Caenorhabditis elegans: one gene and its partner. The protein of the gene in region 1 purifies or fractionates together with the protein of each later gene. This does not show direct contact. Each region holds a gene or a part of one and is shown in the gene's direction. Other genes may lie near its edges.

Region 1 (8,170 bases):
TTCACGCCGCCGATCGCGTTTTGCTAGATCAAAAACAAAAAATTTTGCAATTTTCAGGTAGACCCCATCCGATTGGCGATTTTCAGCAACCGCTTCATGTCGATCGCTGAACAAATGGGACGGATTCTTCAGAGAACCGCAATTTCCACAAACATCAAGGTTTGACCAGTAAATTCATTGAAAAGCTATGGGATCCATGAAATATCCGGAATTTAGTATCTATAAAACTGATGAGATCTATGGAATCCGTTGTGCATATGGAAATTGAATCTACAGGTTTTCTGGTTTTCTGGGTTTTCGTAACAATATATATGTAGCTGTCAATATTTATGAACCATGGATGTCATGGAAATCTATGGCATCCATGGTACCTATGGATCTTATGGGTACCATATTTTTGTCCTTTCAGGAACGCCTCGACTTCTCGTGTGCCCTGTTCAATCCGGAAGGTGGCCTCATCGCAAACGCTCCACACATTCCAGTCCATCTCGGCGGGATGCAGTATACTGTGAAATTTCAAATCGATCATCGCGGAATCGAGAATATCAAGGAAGGAGATGTCTACTTGGCTAATCATCCGACAGCCGGTGGATGTCATCTACCGGATTTTACAGTTATCACGCCGGTCTTCTTTAAGGGACACAAGACTCCTGTCTTTTTCGTGGCGAATCGAGGCCATCATGCGGATATTGGGGGTCTGGTGCCGGGGAGCATGCCACCAAATGCACATCATATAGATCAGGTAAGGGCCGGAACTGAAGGTTCCTAGGAGGGCCTGGAGGATCCTGATAGGGCTTGGAAGGATCGGAAGAATACGTTTAGGATCCTAGAGATCACAGCAGGAGTCTAGGCGGAGTTGAAAGTTCAGAGAAGGAGCTGAAGAAGCCTAGTAGGAATTGAAAAAAACTTAGATAGACATGAAGGATCATAAATGTTATGAAAGGATTTCAGTAAGGCCTAGTGGATTAGAAAACAAGTTGGAAGATCCTGGAGTGAATGAAAGGATTTCCATGAAATTGGACGGAATCTAGGTAAATACTGAAAGATCCTAGTATGAATTGAAAGATTCTATTAGAGCTTTGAAGGATCGGAAGACGAAATGAAATATCCTAGGCAAAGCGAAAAGATCCTAGAAGACGCTGAAGGAACCTAGTTAAAAGTGGAAGGATCTTTAATGTAAATTAGAGGATTCCTGTGAGATTTGAGGGAACCTAGCTTGATATTATAGGGTCCTAATAGAAATTGGATCCCACTAGGAGTGTGGAGTTTCATGTGAAAATTTTAGAATCTAACCTAGATTTTGCTAAAAATTTATAAATTTCCAGGAAGGAGCTTCATTCATCTCCTTCAAACTAGTGGATGAAGGAGTTTTCCAAGAGCAGCGCCTAATCGATGCTCTTAAAGCCCCTGGAAAAGTGCCCGGATGCTCGGCGGCCAGAAATATCAGTGACAATATTGCCGACTTGAATGCACAGATCGCTGCCAATCGGAAGGTAATTTTTTGGTAATCTACCATTGCTCTACTTTGGCAGCTTATATCTCGGTTGTCTTTGATGTTATCAAAAAAATTTCAACTAACAAAATATTTAATATTTCTTTTTGCATAAGTTTGCATTTGATCACTTCTTGATAGCTTCAAATCTGGCAGAGATATAAACTGTCAAAGTTTGGACGACATGATGCTGACGATCAACTTCAAAAGCCTTTATCTCGACCAGCTTAGGTATAACCAAGAAATAGTCGAATAGCTAAAAAAGTTTTTAGATGTTTTCTGTACTTTTGTAGATCAATTTTTTTTTGATTACATCATGTGAAATTTTCCAGGGAATCCAACTAGTTACAAGTCTCATCGAGGAATACTCCCTTGACGTTGTGCACGCGTACATGCAACATATCCAAAACACTGCTGAGCTTTGTGTCAGGGAAATGCTCAAAAAAGTTGGACGGAAGGTTCTGGAGAAAACCGGCAAAAGTCAGCTATCTGGGGAAGACTTTATGGATGATGGAACAGTGATCAAGCTGACTGTAGATATCGATTCAGAGGAGGGTACTGCGATTTTCGACTTCACGGGTACTGGTCCAGAGTCGTATAGCTCTTGTAATGCTCCGAGAGCAGTCACCATGTCGGCGGTCACTTATTGTTTGAGATGTCTTGTCGAGAAGGATATCCCGCTGAATAACGGATGCTTGGCGCCGATTCAGATAAAGATCCCCGAGGGAACACTGCTGTCGCCGTCGGAAACTGCCCCGGTTGTAGCTGGAAATGTGCTGACTAGCCAGAGACTTTGTGATGTCATTTTTAAGGTGGGAAATTTGATTATCGATTTTTAGGAGACATAAAAATTATTGAAAATTATCGATTTTTAATATTCCCAAAAAATTATCGAATTTATCTTTTTTTGAAAGTTTTTGCCGGTAATTATCGATTTCTGTGGAGTTTGTATCGGATTTTTTTTTTTTGGAATTCTATTGTCGATTTTTCGGAACTATTATAATTTTTTTAAACTCAACAATTTTTCAACAAAAAATCAACAATTTTTAAAAATAAATTCGAAACAATTTCGAAAAAAATTATCGATTTCTTCCAAAATTCTAAACTAAAATTATCGATTTATCTAGACATTTGACATTGTCGCCGCCAGTCAAGGATGCATGAACAACTTGGTGTTCGGCGACGAGACTTGCGGTTACTACGAGACGATTGCCGGCGGTGCCGGCGCCGGCAACGGGTTCCACGGACGAAGTGGAGTGCATACGCACATGACGAACACAAGAATCACGGATCCTGAGATTTTGGAGAACAGGTTCCCGGTGATACTTCGGGAATGGAAATTGAGAGATGGATCCGGTGGAAGTGGAAAATGGGAGGGCGGTGATGGAGTTGTGAGGCAGTTGGAGTTTACGAGAAAGCTCACATTGAGTCTGCTGACTGAGAGACGGTAAGTGCGCTCCATTGAAACGAAAAACACTTGATTATGAAGATTTTCAAGCTAAAAATTAAAAATTCAAATTTTGCGCCGACCGCTTGTTACTAGTGCGCTCCATTGAGAAATTAGCTGATTTTATGATTTTTTACGACGATCATTTCAGAAGAACTTTGAACGTTTTTGAGCAGGCAATTCAAGTTTCGCCGACTGCACGTTGTATGTGTGCTCCAATAAGAAACCCATAGATTTGGATGATCTTTGAGCTTAAAATTTGAAGTTCGCATCGAGCGCGTGTTGCTATCGCGCTCTACTGATTGATTTGTTGGTTTTTCAGCGCATTCCAACCGTATGGGCTTCACGGCGGTCAGCCCGGACAACGAGGTCTGAATTTGCTGAAACGAGGTGGAAGAGCTGTAAATATTGGGTCGAAAGCGAGTTTTGAAATTCAAAAAGGGGTGAGTTTAGCGGGAAAATCGATATTTTACTGGAAACTTGAAAAATCGATAGTTTTTGCAATTTTTTTCCGAAAAACTCCAAAGTAAATTCCCAATTTTACTCCTGAAATAACGTTCAATAAATCGATAATTAATTCCAAAAAAAAAAAACCAAATTCGATTTTTGACGAATTGTTTTGAAAAAATCGATAATTTTTCAAATTTTCAGGATATTTTATGCATCGAAACTCCGGGTGGCGGTGGTTACGGAGCTCCTGAGAACTCATAATTATTGATTTTTTATACAATTTTCTTTTTTTTTTTTGTAAAAAATTTAAATTTAAATAAACGTTAAAATCTAAGTATTTGTTTTTTCCTTCATTTCTTTTCCTTTATTCTAAAAAATCGATAATTCCAATCATTTCTCAATGGATAGCGATGTGGAATTGAAAAATGTGCACTTTAATCCGTCGGAATCGGTGAGTTTTAAAGTTCTATCGATTTTTCTCAATGGAGCGCCGTTGCGGTGTTACGGAAACTCGAAATTTTTGTCAATTATCCAGGTAACATTCGACGCGGAACCACGAAAACAAGAAATTCCAATCGAAATTCAAAACAATGAATCAATGGATCTTCTGGTGAAATTTAAATCCACACGGTCCGGGATTTTCAACACATTGCCCACTTTTGCAATTGTTAAAGCCGGAAATTCGATGAAATTTGAGCTAATTTGCGAGGGTATCGATAGGGAAAAAGTTAGCAGAGACAGGTGGGAGAGAAAATCAATAATTTTGAACAAAAAAATCGATAATTTTCCAGATTCTCAATCATAGTTTCCGGCATCAAACCAACGGTACTCGCCGCCAAACAAATTTGGAAAAATTACAAGAATCGCGAGGAACTATTGATTGGAAAAATACACAAAAAGATGATTTTCATCAAATTTTCAGGAATCAATGAGACCGATTGGTGGAATAAGAGTATCTTCGGTGAACCGGAGACTAAGGTAACAAATTCGCGGTCAAAAATTGAAAAAAAAAATCCCATTTTTCCATCTTATACCTGAAGACTTATACTGCCTAAGTTGAAGCCTACCCTAGCCAGCCCCTAGGCAGCCCTAGCCAGCCCCTAGGCAGCCAGCCCCTAGGCAGCCCTAGCCAGCCCCCTAGGCAGCCCTAGCCAGCCCCCTAGGCAGACCTACCCTACCATAGGCAGCCCTAGCCTACCCTTGGCAGACCTAGCCTACCCTAGGCAGCCCTAGCCTACCCTAGGCAGCCCTAGCCTACCCTAAGCAGCCCTAGCCTACCCTAGGCAGCCCTAGCCAGCCCCTAGGCAGCCCTAGCCAGCCCCTAGGCAGCCCTAGGCAGCCCTAGCCAGCCCTAGCCAGCCCCTAGCCTACCCTATGCAGCCCTAGCCTACCCTAGGCAGACTTAGCCTACCCTAGGCAGACTTAGCCTACCCTAGGCAGACTTAGCCTACCCTAGGCAGCCCTAGCTTACCCTAGGCAGACTTAGCCTACCCTAGGCAGACTTAGCCTACCCTAGGCAGACTTAGCCTACCCTAGGCAGCCCTAGCCTATCCTAGGCAGACCTAGCCTATCCTAGGCAGACCTAGCCCGCAAGCCCCGAAGCTCGAGTTGGGTTAGAGAACATTCGAACGTGCGGTTTTACCCGGCTCCCTCAAACTTAGCGAGGGTCGAAGACATGCGGCACCCAACAACGACCGCCCAAAATTCACCGATAGCCCAGGAAGCACCCGAAGGCTTGAGGGAGAGAGTTAGTTGGCCCTCCGCCAGGCCAGAGATTCGCTTTCGCAGGACCCTGACAGACCCAAAAATTCACCGATAACCCAGGAAGCACCCGAAGGCTTGAGGGAGAGAGTTAGTTGGCCCTCCGCCAGGCCAGAGATTCGCTTTCGCAGGACCCTGACAGACCCAAAAATTCACCGATAACCCAGGAAGCACCCGAAGGCTTGAGGGAGAGAGTTAGTTGGCCCTCCGCCAGGCCAGAGATTCGCTTTCGCAGGACCCTGACAGACCCAAAAATTCACCGATAACCCAGGAAGCACCCGAAGGCTTGAGGGAGAGAGTTAGTTGGCCCTCCGCCAGGCCAGAGATTCGCTTTCGCAGGACCCTGACAGACCCAAAAATTCACCGATAACCCAGGAAGCACCCGAAGGCTTGAGGGAGAGAGTTAGTTGGCCCTCCGCCAGGCCAGAGATTCGCTTTCGCAGGACCCTGACAGACCCAAAAATTCACCGATAACCCAGGAAGCACCCGAAGGCTTGAGGGAGAGAGTTAGTTGGCCCTCCGCCAGGCCAGAGATTCGCTTTCGCAGGACCCTGACAGACCCAAAAATTCACCGATAACCCAGGAAGCACCCGAAGGCTTAAGGGAGAGAGTTAGCTGGCCCTCCGTCAGGCCAGAGATTTGCTTTCGCAGGTCCCTGGCAGATCCCAAAAATTCACCGATAACCCAGGAAGCACCCGAAGGCTTGAGGGAGAGAGTTAGTTGGCCCTCCGCCAGGCCAGAGATTCGCTTTCGCAGGACCCTGACAGATAGTGGGACAACAATATGAAGGGAGGTCATCTTCTGGATATACGGACAACTCACGGGTTCCGCTAGTTGCAGTGGAAAGAATGCAGGTTACTGGGAACACCTATCGATCGTAGAAGAGACGAGCGAGGACGATATGCACGTCATCGCCTCCCCCGTCATGACGGGAAAGGCGAACCGCAAACGGGAAAACGGTGTATATATCGATCGAGCTTTTTTTTCCAAAATAGGGAATTTCTCTATTTTAATTCATTTCAGTGGATGGGGTAAAACATATGGAACCTATAATAGAGCACCCAGACATAAAACAAGTGGCGAATTGAGCCATCGTTGCCGAAAAAACTATTCGCCGACAGAGCCGGAAATGGCAAAAAAATGCCAGAGTGTTCATGAATATTGTCCAGAAGCCTTGAGAAATCCAGAGAGAAAACTGCAATTTTTAGATCTAGAATTTTATTTTCAATTTTTTGTAGTTTCCCAAGCCTAACCGATTTTAATAAAATATAAGAAACCCTCTTAAAAAGTCTACAAGAAGGTTTTTCCTTGCGCTTGGAGCGCAAAAGAAAAGAAAAAGGGTTATTTAGACTTAGGAACAAACCCAATTTGAATAAATCATAGGAAATCCCCAATCCGACAAGCCTAAGGGCCCGAATCCTAGTATGTTTTTCGGGCCCTTAGGCTTGTCGGATTGGGGGGATTTCCTATGATTTATTCAAATTGGGTTTGTTCCTAACAAGGGAAGTATTTCAACTTAATCCCGGTTTGGTTGTCGAGTTGGTTGTCGAGAGCTCACGCTCGTCACTGACACCAAGCCTAAGCCCTAAGCCTGACTCAGCCTAAGCCCAAGCCTAAACCTACGCCTGGTCAAAATTTTCAAAATTTTCACTAAAAGTATTTATTTTCTACCAAAAAATCGATAATTTCCAGATCCCAACATTCGTAATCCAGCCACAACAATCCGATGACCCACTTTCGGAAGATATGAAAACTACGCTAATCGCTGGAAAATACACGTGTCTGCTTGTTCCATTGGAATAAATATTGATTTATTGATTTTTATCGTAAAAAATCGATAATTTAACACGTTCACGTAAAACAAACAGATCGTTAAAACGAGGAGGAGATCGATATTATAAAATACATGACAAAAAACAGGAAAAAATTATGTTATCGATTTTGTACTCCTCTCGGGCAAGTGGATTATCGATTTTTTTTTTGCAATTTTTCACGGGAGAAATGCGAAAAAATCAATAAAATCATCCGCTATCCTTATCGTCGCTAACATTTCCATCATCATCATCCTCTTTCTGGGTACGTAAATCGTCGGATCGTTCAGTGAAAAACGGCGACGGCGACGGGATTTTATCGAGCAAATTTTCGTCGTCTTCGTCGCCGGCGACCCGAATCTGCGAGAATTGCAGTTTGCCGGTTTCCAGGAATTCTGAAATGATTGGAAAATTATTGATTTTTACGATGCTCCGATATATTCCGCACATGGGAATTATCGATTTTTGACGAAAATTCGCGCGAATTAGCTATGGAGCGCATTTTCCCCTGAAAATCGATCGAATTGTTCCGCAGGAGAATTTTTGTCAATGGAGCGCATTTGGGACACGAGGCCGCCGGCGCGGGAAATTTGAAATTTTGCAAAATCGGCGAAATCCCATGAAAATTTCGAATTTTTCAGTTAAAAAACCAAAATTTCAGGTGTTCTCGGCGCGAAATTTGAATTTTTGAGTTAAATAGTGAAGTTTTGGTAAAATTCTGTGATTTCGGGTAAAATTATCAATGGAGCGCACAGGAACATGCAAAAATTGCATTTTTGTCGCTTTTCCAGAGAGAAATCCGTAAATTTCTCACCCATATCGGGTCCGACAACGATCGGCACGTCATAGGGTACAATTTCACGCCAAAAATGTGTATTCCACTCCATTTCGCTGTCGGCCATCGATAAATCGTCGTCGAGAAATCGGCCAATTTCAATGCAAGCCGGCGCGATTTTTGTGTGCTCAATGTGCATTCGGTGCAAATTTTTGAGCTTCAGGATGCCACGTGTTCCCAGATCCACGTAGCGAAGAGCCACGTTGGCGTTCGGCAAAAAATCGATAATCTCGCAACGGAGCCATTGAGCCGACGATTTTTGGCGATTTTTGATGGTTGCCATCACGTAGGTTCGGCCGGTTTGGAGGGCGAATTTTCTGGAAAAAATTTAAATAGAAAAATCGGTTTTTCGCTGGTGAAAATGCGCTCTATTG
Region 2 (9,601 bases), on another chromosome or scaffold:
ATTTTTAACTCTATAAAATCTCCAAATTTCAAGAAATTCGTTCATTTTTGAAAAAAAAAAGTTTCGAACCAATCAACGCTTCCGAACTCCGCCCATTCCATCTGATTGGTTGAAAAGTGGGCGGAGCCAGTCGCGTTGATTGGTCGCAGATTGTAATTTAGCCAAAATTGAAGTTCTTTAGCGATCTTTCAGGTTTGAGTCTATTTTTAAATTTTTTTGCTGAAAAATTTTAAAAAAAATTGATTTTTTTCCAATTTTTCAGCATGTTCACCCTCTTGGAAAGCTGCGTTGACAAGATAGACATCACTCAATTCTCGTCAGTAATGGAAGTTGGATTATCCGATCAGAATCATGACGTCAAACTTCTCAACTACTTGACCCTCCAACGTGTCGCTAATCTTGCTCCAGGACAAGTTCTCCAACGAATCGATCGTGTCTGTGAACCGTTGAAGACTCAATTGAACGTTCGTCCACGTGGAAATGCTGTTAAGCAGGAAGTTGAGAAGCTTGAAGAGCTGAAGAAGGCTGTCATTCGTGTTGTATACGGATTGAAGTTGAAGCTGCCAGAAGTTGAGAGAAATCCACAATTTTTGGATCTTTACAACACTATCAAACATACCAAAGAGTTGGAGGTACTTGATTGTGCCAGGAAAAAAAACAAAAAAAAATAGCATTGCTAGAATCGCCGTAAAAATGCTCAAAAGATGAATTTTCGGAAATTTTTTCACGGAAATTCCATAATTTTGAGCTAAAAATCAATTAAATTCCCAATTTTTTTGAGAATTGTGAATTCTGTTTTTTCTCGCGCGAATTTACAGTTTTTGGCTGAAATTCCCGTCTTCACACTTTTTTAAAAATGAACATTGAAAATTGTCAAAATATGCGAAATTTTGTGCCAAAGTACGGTACCATAGGTCTCGAAACGACAATTTTTTGTAAAATACAAACGGGTGTGCGCCTTTAAGGATTACTGTGGTTTAAAACTTTTGTTACTCCGGATGAAACAAAATTTTTTATCGATTTTCATTGTTTTTCGTTGAAAAAATGAGGAAAATCGATGAAAATTCCCCCAGTAGCAACGAAAGTTTGAAATTACGGTAATCCTTATTAAAGGCACACCCGTTTGTGATCTACAAAATATTTGTCGTTTCGAGACCAGGTACCGTAGTTTTGACGCAAAATTTCGACAGAAACGCTGAAAATTGCATATATGGGGAATTCTAAAAAAAAAAGCAAAAATATAGAAATTAGGGAATTTCTGCCCAAAAACTGTCTTAAATCGTGTGCGAAAAAATAAATTCAAAATTACACGACAGTACACGGCGGCCGTCGTAAATCGACAAGATCAACCGCGCCGCAGTCGACAAAAACTACTCAAAAGACAAATTAAAATTTTCCTTTTTTTTTTTGAAAATTGAAAAATTGAAGTTTTATCAAAAATTTATCAAATTTGATGAGAATACGAAATTATTGAAAATTTGAATTTTTTTCCCGAAAAAACGGTGAAAAATCGAAAAAAAACCCAGTCCCAGTAAATAATTTGCATTCCTTTTCAGGCTCTCGCCAACGATGTGCTCAAGGAGTCTCAACGCGCGGTGGTCTACGACACTCCAATGGAAACTGCATAATTATATCGTTTTTTTTTGTGTTCCCCCCGCCCGCGCCGATAATTCTATATTTTTGTGTGTAATTATACATAGTTACAGTATATTCCCCTTTTACCCATTTTTTTTTTCGTTTTTGTCTACCGGACTTTTGAATTTTGCGTAAAAAATACGGTCTCGGTACTGTAGTTTCAAACTTTTTTCTCGGCGGGATTTTCAATGATTTCTCATGGTTCCACCACAAAAGTTTTAAATTACAGTAATTTTTAAAGGCGCACACATTTTTTTGCATGCAACAAAAATTGTCGTGCTGAGACCCGTATTTTTCGGCCAAATTTTCGCGTCTGGATAATATCAATTTCCCCTTTTCCCCTGGCTACTCTATACTGTCATCGCGAGTCGATTTCCCCACTTTTGTGTGTAATTGTATTTTATTTATTCTTTTTTTCGCCCCCCTCGCACCTTACTTCATCCAAAATTTTTTGTCCGCAAAAATTAAGATTTTTATCAATCTGAAATATTATCCTCGAGTTCTTCTGGTAAACTTTTTTCGCATTTCAACTCCACCTACCAATTCTCTGACCTTAAAAGTGCATAGTGTAGTCTACATTTGGGTACACCAACACAGAGCCTTATCACGTTTTTATGCACATTGACCCACCCCCAGCCTCTTCCCTAAATTTCACTTTTTATCAGAATTTTCAAATTTTTTTTGTTTACTAGTTTTTTACCTAGCTTTTGGAAAAGTTGGAATTTTAAGAAAAACGTTTTTTGAAATTTTCAATTTTAATTCCAAAATTAAAATTCGCCCCATAAGTGCATCCCCATTAATTGAACCCCATAATTCATTAGCGATACCCCTAGTACTACATAAATCAACGTGATAAAGGCCACAATATAGTCTGTCAGTCAGTCCCTCAACCCCTACATGACTAGTTAGAGAGGGAGAGAGAGTACGGGGAACTGTGGAGACGCAGACAACACACACACACAGGATCATCACACGCCTTCTACACGGACGAGAAAGATCGCTGCCAATTTATTTGTTTCTTTCAGCGGGACACGATTTTTGGGTTTCAATGTTTTTTTTGTTGTTTTGCAATATTTTTTCTTCTAATTTTTGAAGATTTTGGGGTACTGTAGCTCTGGAGATCGTGGCGAGACCCAAAACGATATGTGCCATTCGTGATATAAATCGAGGATAAACAAAAAATTCCATTTTTCACTGTTTTTGCCTAAGCTTGAGCTTAGAATTAAGCCTAAACCGGAGCCTAAACCTAAACCTAGCCCAAGCCTAAGACTAAATCTAAACCTAAGACTAAGTCTAAAACTAAGACTAAACCCAAGTCTAACCGAGGCCTAAGCCTCAGCCCAAGCCTAAACCTACCCATAAGCCTAAGCCTAGAAATTAGCCGGGCCTAAGGCTATTTTGAAAAATGTACAGATGCAACCGCGCTCCATTGCACTAAACACCCCACTAAATTTAAAAATATCAAATAACTTTCAGATCGTATCAAATGTCGACATTTTCGCGTCAAGACCAACTTCCGAGTCTTCCGGTTCCATCTTTAGTGGAGACTTTAGAGAAGTACATTGATTCAGGTACCCCGCGGCCGCGAGAAAACTCGGCCACCAGTTGTAATTTTTCAGCTTCGGCAATTCTGACTCCTGCCGAGAAGGCGCGTGTCGAGAAAGAAGCTCATGAATTCCAGCACTCGGAGCTCGGAGCTCAGCTGCAGTCGGCTTTAGAGAATCGAGCAAAGAATCATAAGAATTGGGTAAGAAATTGTTTTTACTCGTTGGAGATGTAAGTAGGCCGAAGCCTAGGCCTGTGCCTGAGCCTATACTTAAGCCCAAACCTAAGCCTGGGCCTATGCGCAAGCCTATGTTTAGGCCTAAACTTCAACGTTAGCCTGAGCCTAAGCCTACTTTACTAAAATAAACTTCACCCGGGCTGTCAAAGTTGAGAAAAGGTGATCGATGCACCATGAGCACACCATCTTAAAACCCTTATATCTTTCTTAATTTTGAAGATAAAACTAAAGTTTCAACTACAAAATTATAGAAATCGAAATTTTAAACAAGTTGTCAGTTTACAATTTTTTGTTAAAACCAAATTCAACCGAGATATGGCCTGCCGAAGTTGACGATTTTAAATACCTTGGCTGCTTTTTAAAATAAACCAAAAATTTTAACTAAAAAAAGCTGATCCAACAACTTACAGCTTGAGGACTGGTGGTACAACGCCTACACCGAGATCCGTGAGCCCCTGGCTCCATATGTCTCATTTGGAGCAATGAACACTGCGTACAACTGTGTGGATGGAGGACAAGTGAGCCGTGCCGCTGATGTCCTTCATCATTGGCTTAGTGTATGGGATAAAGTTCGACAGTGAGAGTTTATATTTTCTAAAAATCCTGGCATGACGAAAGAAAAATTATTTCTAGCGGAAAATGGCCAGTGACGTCATCACGCGGAGTGACGTGGGATATGCAGCAATTCCATCACTTATTCTCGTCGAATCGTACACCACAGAGGACAAGAGACACTATGGATCGGTATTTTAAGACAAGTAGGTTAATCTTCCATTTTCTATCCGGACGTGGCCTAGAAATCTAAAACCTTGGCTGTCTCTCTGCGTATCTGCTCACTAGAAATCCAGCTTCACAAAAATCTAAAAAAATCTTTCTTTTTTTTTGACATTTTTGATTCTTGGAATGCTTAAAAATTTCAGCCGCTGATTTTTATTGTTCCTATGAAAAACAGCTCAAATTTTTTAGGTGTGAAATTACGAGCAATTTGATTGCTTGCAAGAGTGTGATAAGAGTGATAAGATAATAAAACACATGTCGGCGGTGTTGACCATTACTGTGTTTTATTGTTGTCATTCCAAAGTTTGCGGGACTTTGGACTTTGCCACGTGACCGCAAAGGAAAATTTGATGGCCGAGTTTCTCATTTACGCGGCCACCAGCACAAGATAAATTAGAATGGATCAATTTTCAAATTTTCAGCAAATGTGCAAAAATGTGCAAAAATGCTTCAAAAAATGTGCAAAAACTGTGCAAAACTGTGCAAAAAATGTGCATTTTGTTCCTGTAAAATTAACTTTTTTTTCAGAAGAGGAAGGAGATACACCAACTCATGTAATTATTTGTTGTGACGGGTGTTTTTGGAAGTTAAACATTTTAAATGAGGACGATGACACCATCAAGAGCCCAGATGAGATTTATAACGTGAGCTAAAGTGCTCTAATTGTGGAGCACACATTAAATAATTACAGATGCTGAAATTCGTAAGAGACAACTCATCGGACGAGTCTTCGTGCTGTGTCAGCAAGCTTACAACTACGAATCGAGACGTTTGGAGCTTGGTAAGCTGACTTCCAGCTCATTTTTAGTCCGAAATCCTGATTTCCAGAACCGCGACGAGCTGCTCCGTGTGAGCTCAGCGAATATAGAATATGTAAGAGCAGTTGAAACGAGCATTTTGTTTCTGTCAATGGTACCAAAAAAGGGTGGAGATGATCAGCAGAAGGTTTGGGATTTCATTTTTTGCCACAGATACTAATGAAGAAATAATTCCAGCTCATGTCAAATGCTCTTCAAGACGAGAGTTGGTTTGTCTGGCAGGATAAATCAGTGAATATTACTATTTATGAAGACGCACAAGTGATGGTTCAAGGAGATGTAAGTAGGCCTGAGCCTACGCCTAAGTCTAGGCTTAAGCCTGATCCTAAGCTTTAGGCTGAGCCTAAGCCTAAGCACAAGCCCAAGCCTAAGCCTACGCCTAAACCCCACTTTTTCAGCACTCCAACATTGATGCTATAGTTCTCCTTCAAGTTGGTGACTACGTGGCTTCTCGTGTTCGAAAGCAGCTTTGGCACCCTGCCAAAACAGGATCCGACCTGCACTTTGAATTTCCGGAACGCCTAATCTTCGAGTTCAATGAGCCGCTCAGACACGCAATTTCGTTTGCAGATGTGGAGTTTTACAAGAGTGTAAGTGACTTTCCCTGTGTCTCCAGTCACTAAAAATGTTAAAAATTCCAGAAGCAACTGTACCGAGCGCGCGGCGTCCATCACCATGGGTACGGTAACGAGCTGTGCCGGACTGCCAAAGTCTACACGGATACTGTAGTTCAGTTGGCTCTTCAGTTGGCGTTTTTGAAGACTCACGGAAGCTTTGCTCCGATCTACGAGACCGCATCAACCCGTAAATTCTTCCACGGCAGAACTGAAACCGTGCGTGGGTGTACGTCGCAGTTTGTCAGATTTGCGAAGGCGCTCCTGGGAGATCAAACGGTAGCGGTAGAGCAAGATTGCATTGAAACCCTGACTAAGAAAAACTATTCAGAACGAGAAAGAGGATCTCAAGAAGCTCTTCGACTCAGCCATCAATGCTCATAACCAGCTCATGGCCGACTGTATGGATGGAAGAGGTACTGAAAATCCTTCGAAGACTTGTTAGACTAGAATTTTCAGGTTTTGACCGACATCTCATGGGTTTGAAGTTAACACTGTCCATCATGAACAAAGGATGTGGCCCAAAGCGTCAAGCACCCGAATTTTTGCGAGATGACACGTGGAAGAGGACGGGGGGAGACGGGAATTTCCTGCTTTCCACGAGGTTTGGTTTTAAATTGGATGGTATGAAAACAGATAATAAATTTAGTTTTCATGTTGCCAAAACACCTATGTTTGGCAATTAAAAACTGAACAAAAACAGTGAGCACTATAAGTCGATGCACCATAAGTCCTGGTCATGGTGCATCGACTAGAAATTAATTGTGAATTGTTCGGGTTGTCATGGTGCGTCGACGGCAATGTCACGGGGGCTGAAATATCATGGCACGGCCTCCTGGAGTGTTCATAATTATTAGAGCGCGCTCGCACGCCACCTCACAAACTCCAGAATTCGCGGGAACTCGTTTCGAGGGAACAGCAGTTTTTGGCTATTTTTGGCTTCTATGAAAATTATTTTTAATTTTTTGATTTAAAATAGTGTTTAGAAGCATCATCCGAATTGAAAATGTGTAAAATTATGAAATTTGACCGAAAACTGATGGTTTTACAGAAAGGAGTCACCACGGTTTTCTTCAAAATGTATCAGTACCGTCAGTTTTTTGATTGCAGAGTCGTAAAATATGTAATTTTATAGAGAAAAGTCTGTATCACAAAAATCCATGTTTGAAATTTTAATTCTCTAATTTATAATATAAAAATATTCAAAAAATCAACAATTTTACGTTAAAATCTTATTTTTAAAATTTTTCAGTTTTTAATACATTAAAAAAACAATTTTAAATTTTCAAGCGCAAATTTTTGTGAAACAGATTTTTCTCTACAAAATGACATATTTTACGACTCTGAAATCGAAAAACTGACGGTACTGATACATTTTAAAGAAAACCTTGCTGTAAAACCGTCCTTTCTGTAAAACCGTCAGTTTTTGGTCAAATTTCATAATTTTACACATTTTCAATTCGGATAATGCTTCTCAAGAATATCATAAATCAAAAAATTAAAAAAATTTTCATAGAAGCCTAAAATAGCAACTAACTGCTGTCCCCGCGGAACGAATTTCCGCGAATTCTGGAGTTCGTGAGGTGCCGCGCGAGCGCACTCTAATAATTATGAACACTCCACGTGCATGGTGCATCGATAAAAATGTCAAGGTGTACTGTAATGTTATGGTGCATCGACATTTAAAGTGGGACTCCTGCGTAGTAATAGCGTAGTCTTGCGTGAGCTAAAACTCCTGCGCAATGTCAAACTTCTATGTAGACCAGGGACGTGCGGCAAATTTGCCGAATTTGCCGAGCTCGGCAGATTTCGAAATTTGCCGCACACGTCAAAAATTTGACAGTACAATTTTGACCAAAACTGTTAATTTTTTCGGCAAAAATTTGGTAAAATGACACCAAATTGAGTTATTTTGATGTTTAAGCAGACACACTACACGGAACTCATTCAGCAACTAATTTTTTGTTCAGAATTCTGTAGTTTCGGTGCTCCAAAAAACATCATAAAATATCAAAATTTTCCGAGTTTGTCAAGCACGGCAAATTTGCCGAATTTGCCGAGCTCGGCAAATTTTGAGATTTGCCGCACACCCCTGATGTAGACGTACATTATGGAGTGCACCGAATTAAACACTAGGACTTTTTGCCAAAGAGCGTCATGGTGCATCGTGGCACCGACCAATTAGCTCCCTTGGTCATGGTCTAAAACTCAATTTACAGCTTCATCGGCTACATGGACGGGAATCAACCGGGAACTTTCGGCTACGTGGCTGCAATGCGACCTGACGGCTACGGTTGCTTCTATAGAATCGGCAAATCTAGGTGAGATGTCACCAAAAAAGCTTTTAGGCTAATTAAAAACCACCTCAGAATCTCCGTTGCCGTCTCCGATTGGGTCTCGTCACGATCGAATATCGACGCATTTTGTGCAAATATTTTATGGGCTCTAGACGCGTTGGCTCCATTCCTAACGCCTGCTCAGAAACTCTAAATCTGCTGTATTTTCATGTTCAAAAATTAAATTTGTAAATTAATAAAAACCAGAAAAACACATCAACTCTCATTTATTGTTTCCCAAACTCAAAAAAGCAAAAATCAACTTTAAATAAATCAATAAATGATGTATTGATCGAAATCGTTGGGTGCAATTGCGGCGATAGCTCCATCTGGATAGTAGAATCGTTTTGTTGGGGGCTTCCAGTTGGGGCGTAGGAACCAAGCGGCTCCTGGAATTTGTAAAAAAGTTATTATGCTGAAAATATGTGACGTCACTATAGAAAACTAGTATTGCGCCAAGACACTATATTTGCAATTGGTCAAAGCTCTGGAAATTTATTTTTAATGTGAATTAGGATGCAAATCATCAAAGATTTCAAATTTACTAATCTCATTATTGGAGCAAAGATTCTTGCTCCTGAACTTGCGTCCGAAAGCCGGCAAAACTTTTCTGGAAAAAAAAAACCTACGCCTGCCTTCACCTACATAGTTGGCTACTTTCAAAGGAATTCAGTTGAAATTAAGGAAATTCTTCAATCTGGCCTATATCTAATTTTTGATGTCAAGCTAGAAACAGAGAATAGGTGCTAGGCAGGCTCGTAGGTAGGCATGAATAAATGGCATGAAGGCATCATTTGGCGCCTGCACATAAATACGTACCTCTCTTCTCCAATGTAAATTGAACGGTTACATGAACAATGGCAAGCACAACCAAAAGGACCAAAAGTATACGGAGCATGTTTCTGCAAAATTTTTGATTTTTTGTCAAATGAGAGAACGTGCAAAAAGTTTAAAAACTATTGAGCCCTCCAGGGGGCTCAAGAGGTCTCAAGTGTGAAAGATGGGAAGGCAAAGGGAGAAAAGAGGGCGTGGTTTAATGTTGAGCAATGATGACGTCATAGGGAAGAAGAAGCAACTGGAAGAGGAGATTAGAAGACAGAAGGGGAATGAGTGATTTGTGGGGGGTTTGACTTGACAGAGAAGGCACAATGAATCTTGTTTCTAGCAAGCTTCCGTCAGGCATGTCGTGCAATGCCTACCTACCTACAAGGCGCCTACGCCTGCCTGGTACCTCTTCAACGCCTGCTTCATGCGTACCCTATGCTTGCTTTCAGCCTATCCGACGTCTGCCTCATGCCAAAGCATGACCTGCCTTACGCCTACTCTATGCCTGCTTCTTGCCTACTCTAGGCCCACCCTTTGCCCTATAAGTGCCTCATACCTATTGTCTATCTCACGCTTACGTTTCAACTGGTTCATGCCTACCTACGCCCGCTGCAAGCCTACCTACGCTAATCTATCCTAGGCATACCTCATGCCCGGTAAGTAGGCAGGCAGGCAGGCAGGCACAAACCGATTTTTGAACAATTGATACAATTTAGTTGAAACAAAATAATTTTTGGATGCGAAAAAAAAACACCCGCCAAAATTAATTGAATTTTAAAGTCCCGCTAGTCTGGGGGCGGGAAATGGTCAGGC

What was found. Proteins that work in one complex are often made in the same cells at the same time.
Region 2: the proteins of Y38F2AR.10 (region 1) and T20B3.1 fractionate together in Caenorhabditis elegans (co-fractionation; one large-scale study listed by BioGRID). This does not show direct contact.

Annotation. Positions count from the first base shown.
Region 1 is NC_003282.8:2,395,040-2,403,209, reverse strand, and holds Y38F2AR.10 (Major sperm protein), read left to right. Parts: upstream 1-3,689; 5' UTR 3,690-3,789; coding exon 3,790-3,840; intron 3,841-3,924; coding exon 3,925-4,130; intron 4,131-4,180; coding exon 4,181-4,367; intron 4,368-4,448; exon of another isoform or gene 4,449-4,558; intron 4,559-6,842; coding exon 6,843-6,953; 3' UTR 6,954-6,969; downstream 6,970-8,170. Other genes in the region: Y38F2AR.12 (5-oxoprolinase), read left to right, coding at 58-159, 410-742, 1,326-1,493, 1,825-2,304, 2,620-2,939, 3,262-3,382, 3,591-3,650; eri-5 (Tudor domain-containing protein), read right to left, coding at 7,172-7,356, 7,776-8,113.
Region 2 is NC_003283.11:16,812,456-16,822,056, forward strand, and holds T20B3.1 (Choline/carnitine acyltransferase domain-containing protein), read left to right. Parts: upstream 1-3,105; 5' UTR 3,106-3,121; coding exon 3,122-3,206; intron 3,207-3,254; coding exon 3,255-3,382; intron 3,383-3,828; coding exon 3,829-3,995; intron 3,996-4,051; coding exon 4,052-4,176; intron 4,177-4,723; coding exon 4,724-4,839; intron 4,840-4,886; coding exon 4,887-4,976; intron 4,977-5,023; coding exon 5,024-5,140; intron 5,141-5,190; coding exon 5,191-5,292; intron 5,293-5,411; coding exon 5,412-5,603; intron 5,604-5,654; coding exon 5,655-5,912; intron 5,913-5,958; coding exon 5,959-6,043; intron 6,044-6,086; coding exon 6,087-6,231; intron 6,232-7,846; coding exon 7,847-7,948; intron 7,949-7,996; coding exon 7,997-8,117; 3' UTR 8,118-8,236; downstream 8,237-9,601. Other genes in the region: cand-1 (Cullin-associated NEDD8-dissociated protein 1), read left to right, coding at 263-632, 1,557-1,628; T20B3.14 (Neuropeptide-Like Protein), read right to left, coding at 8,237-8,352, 8,783-8,861.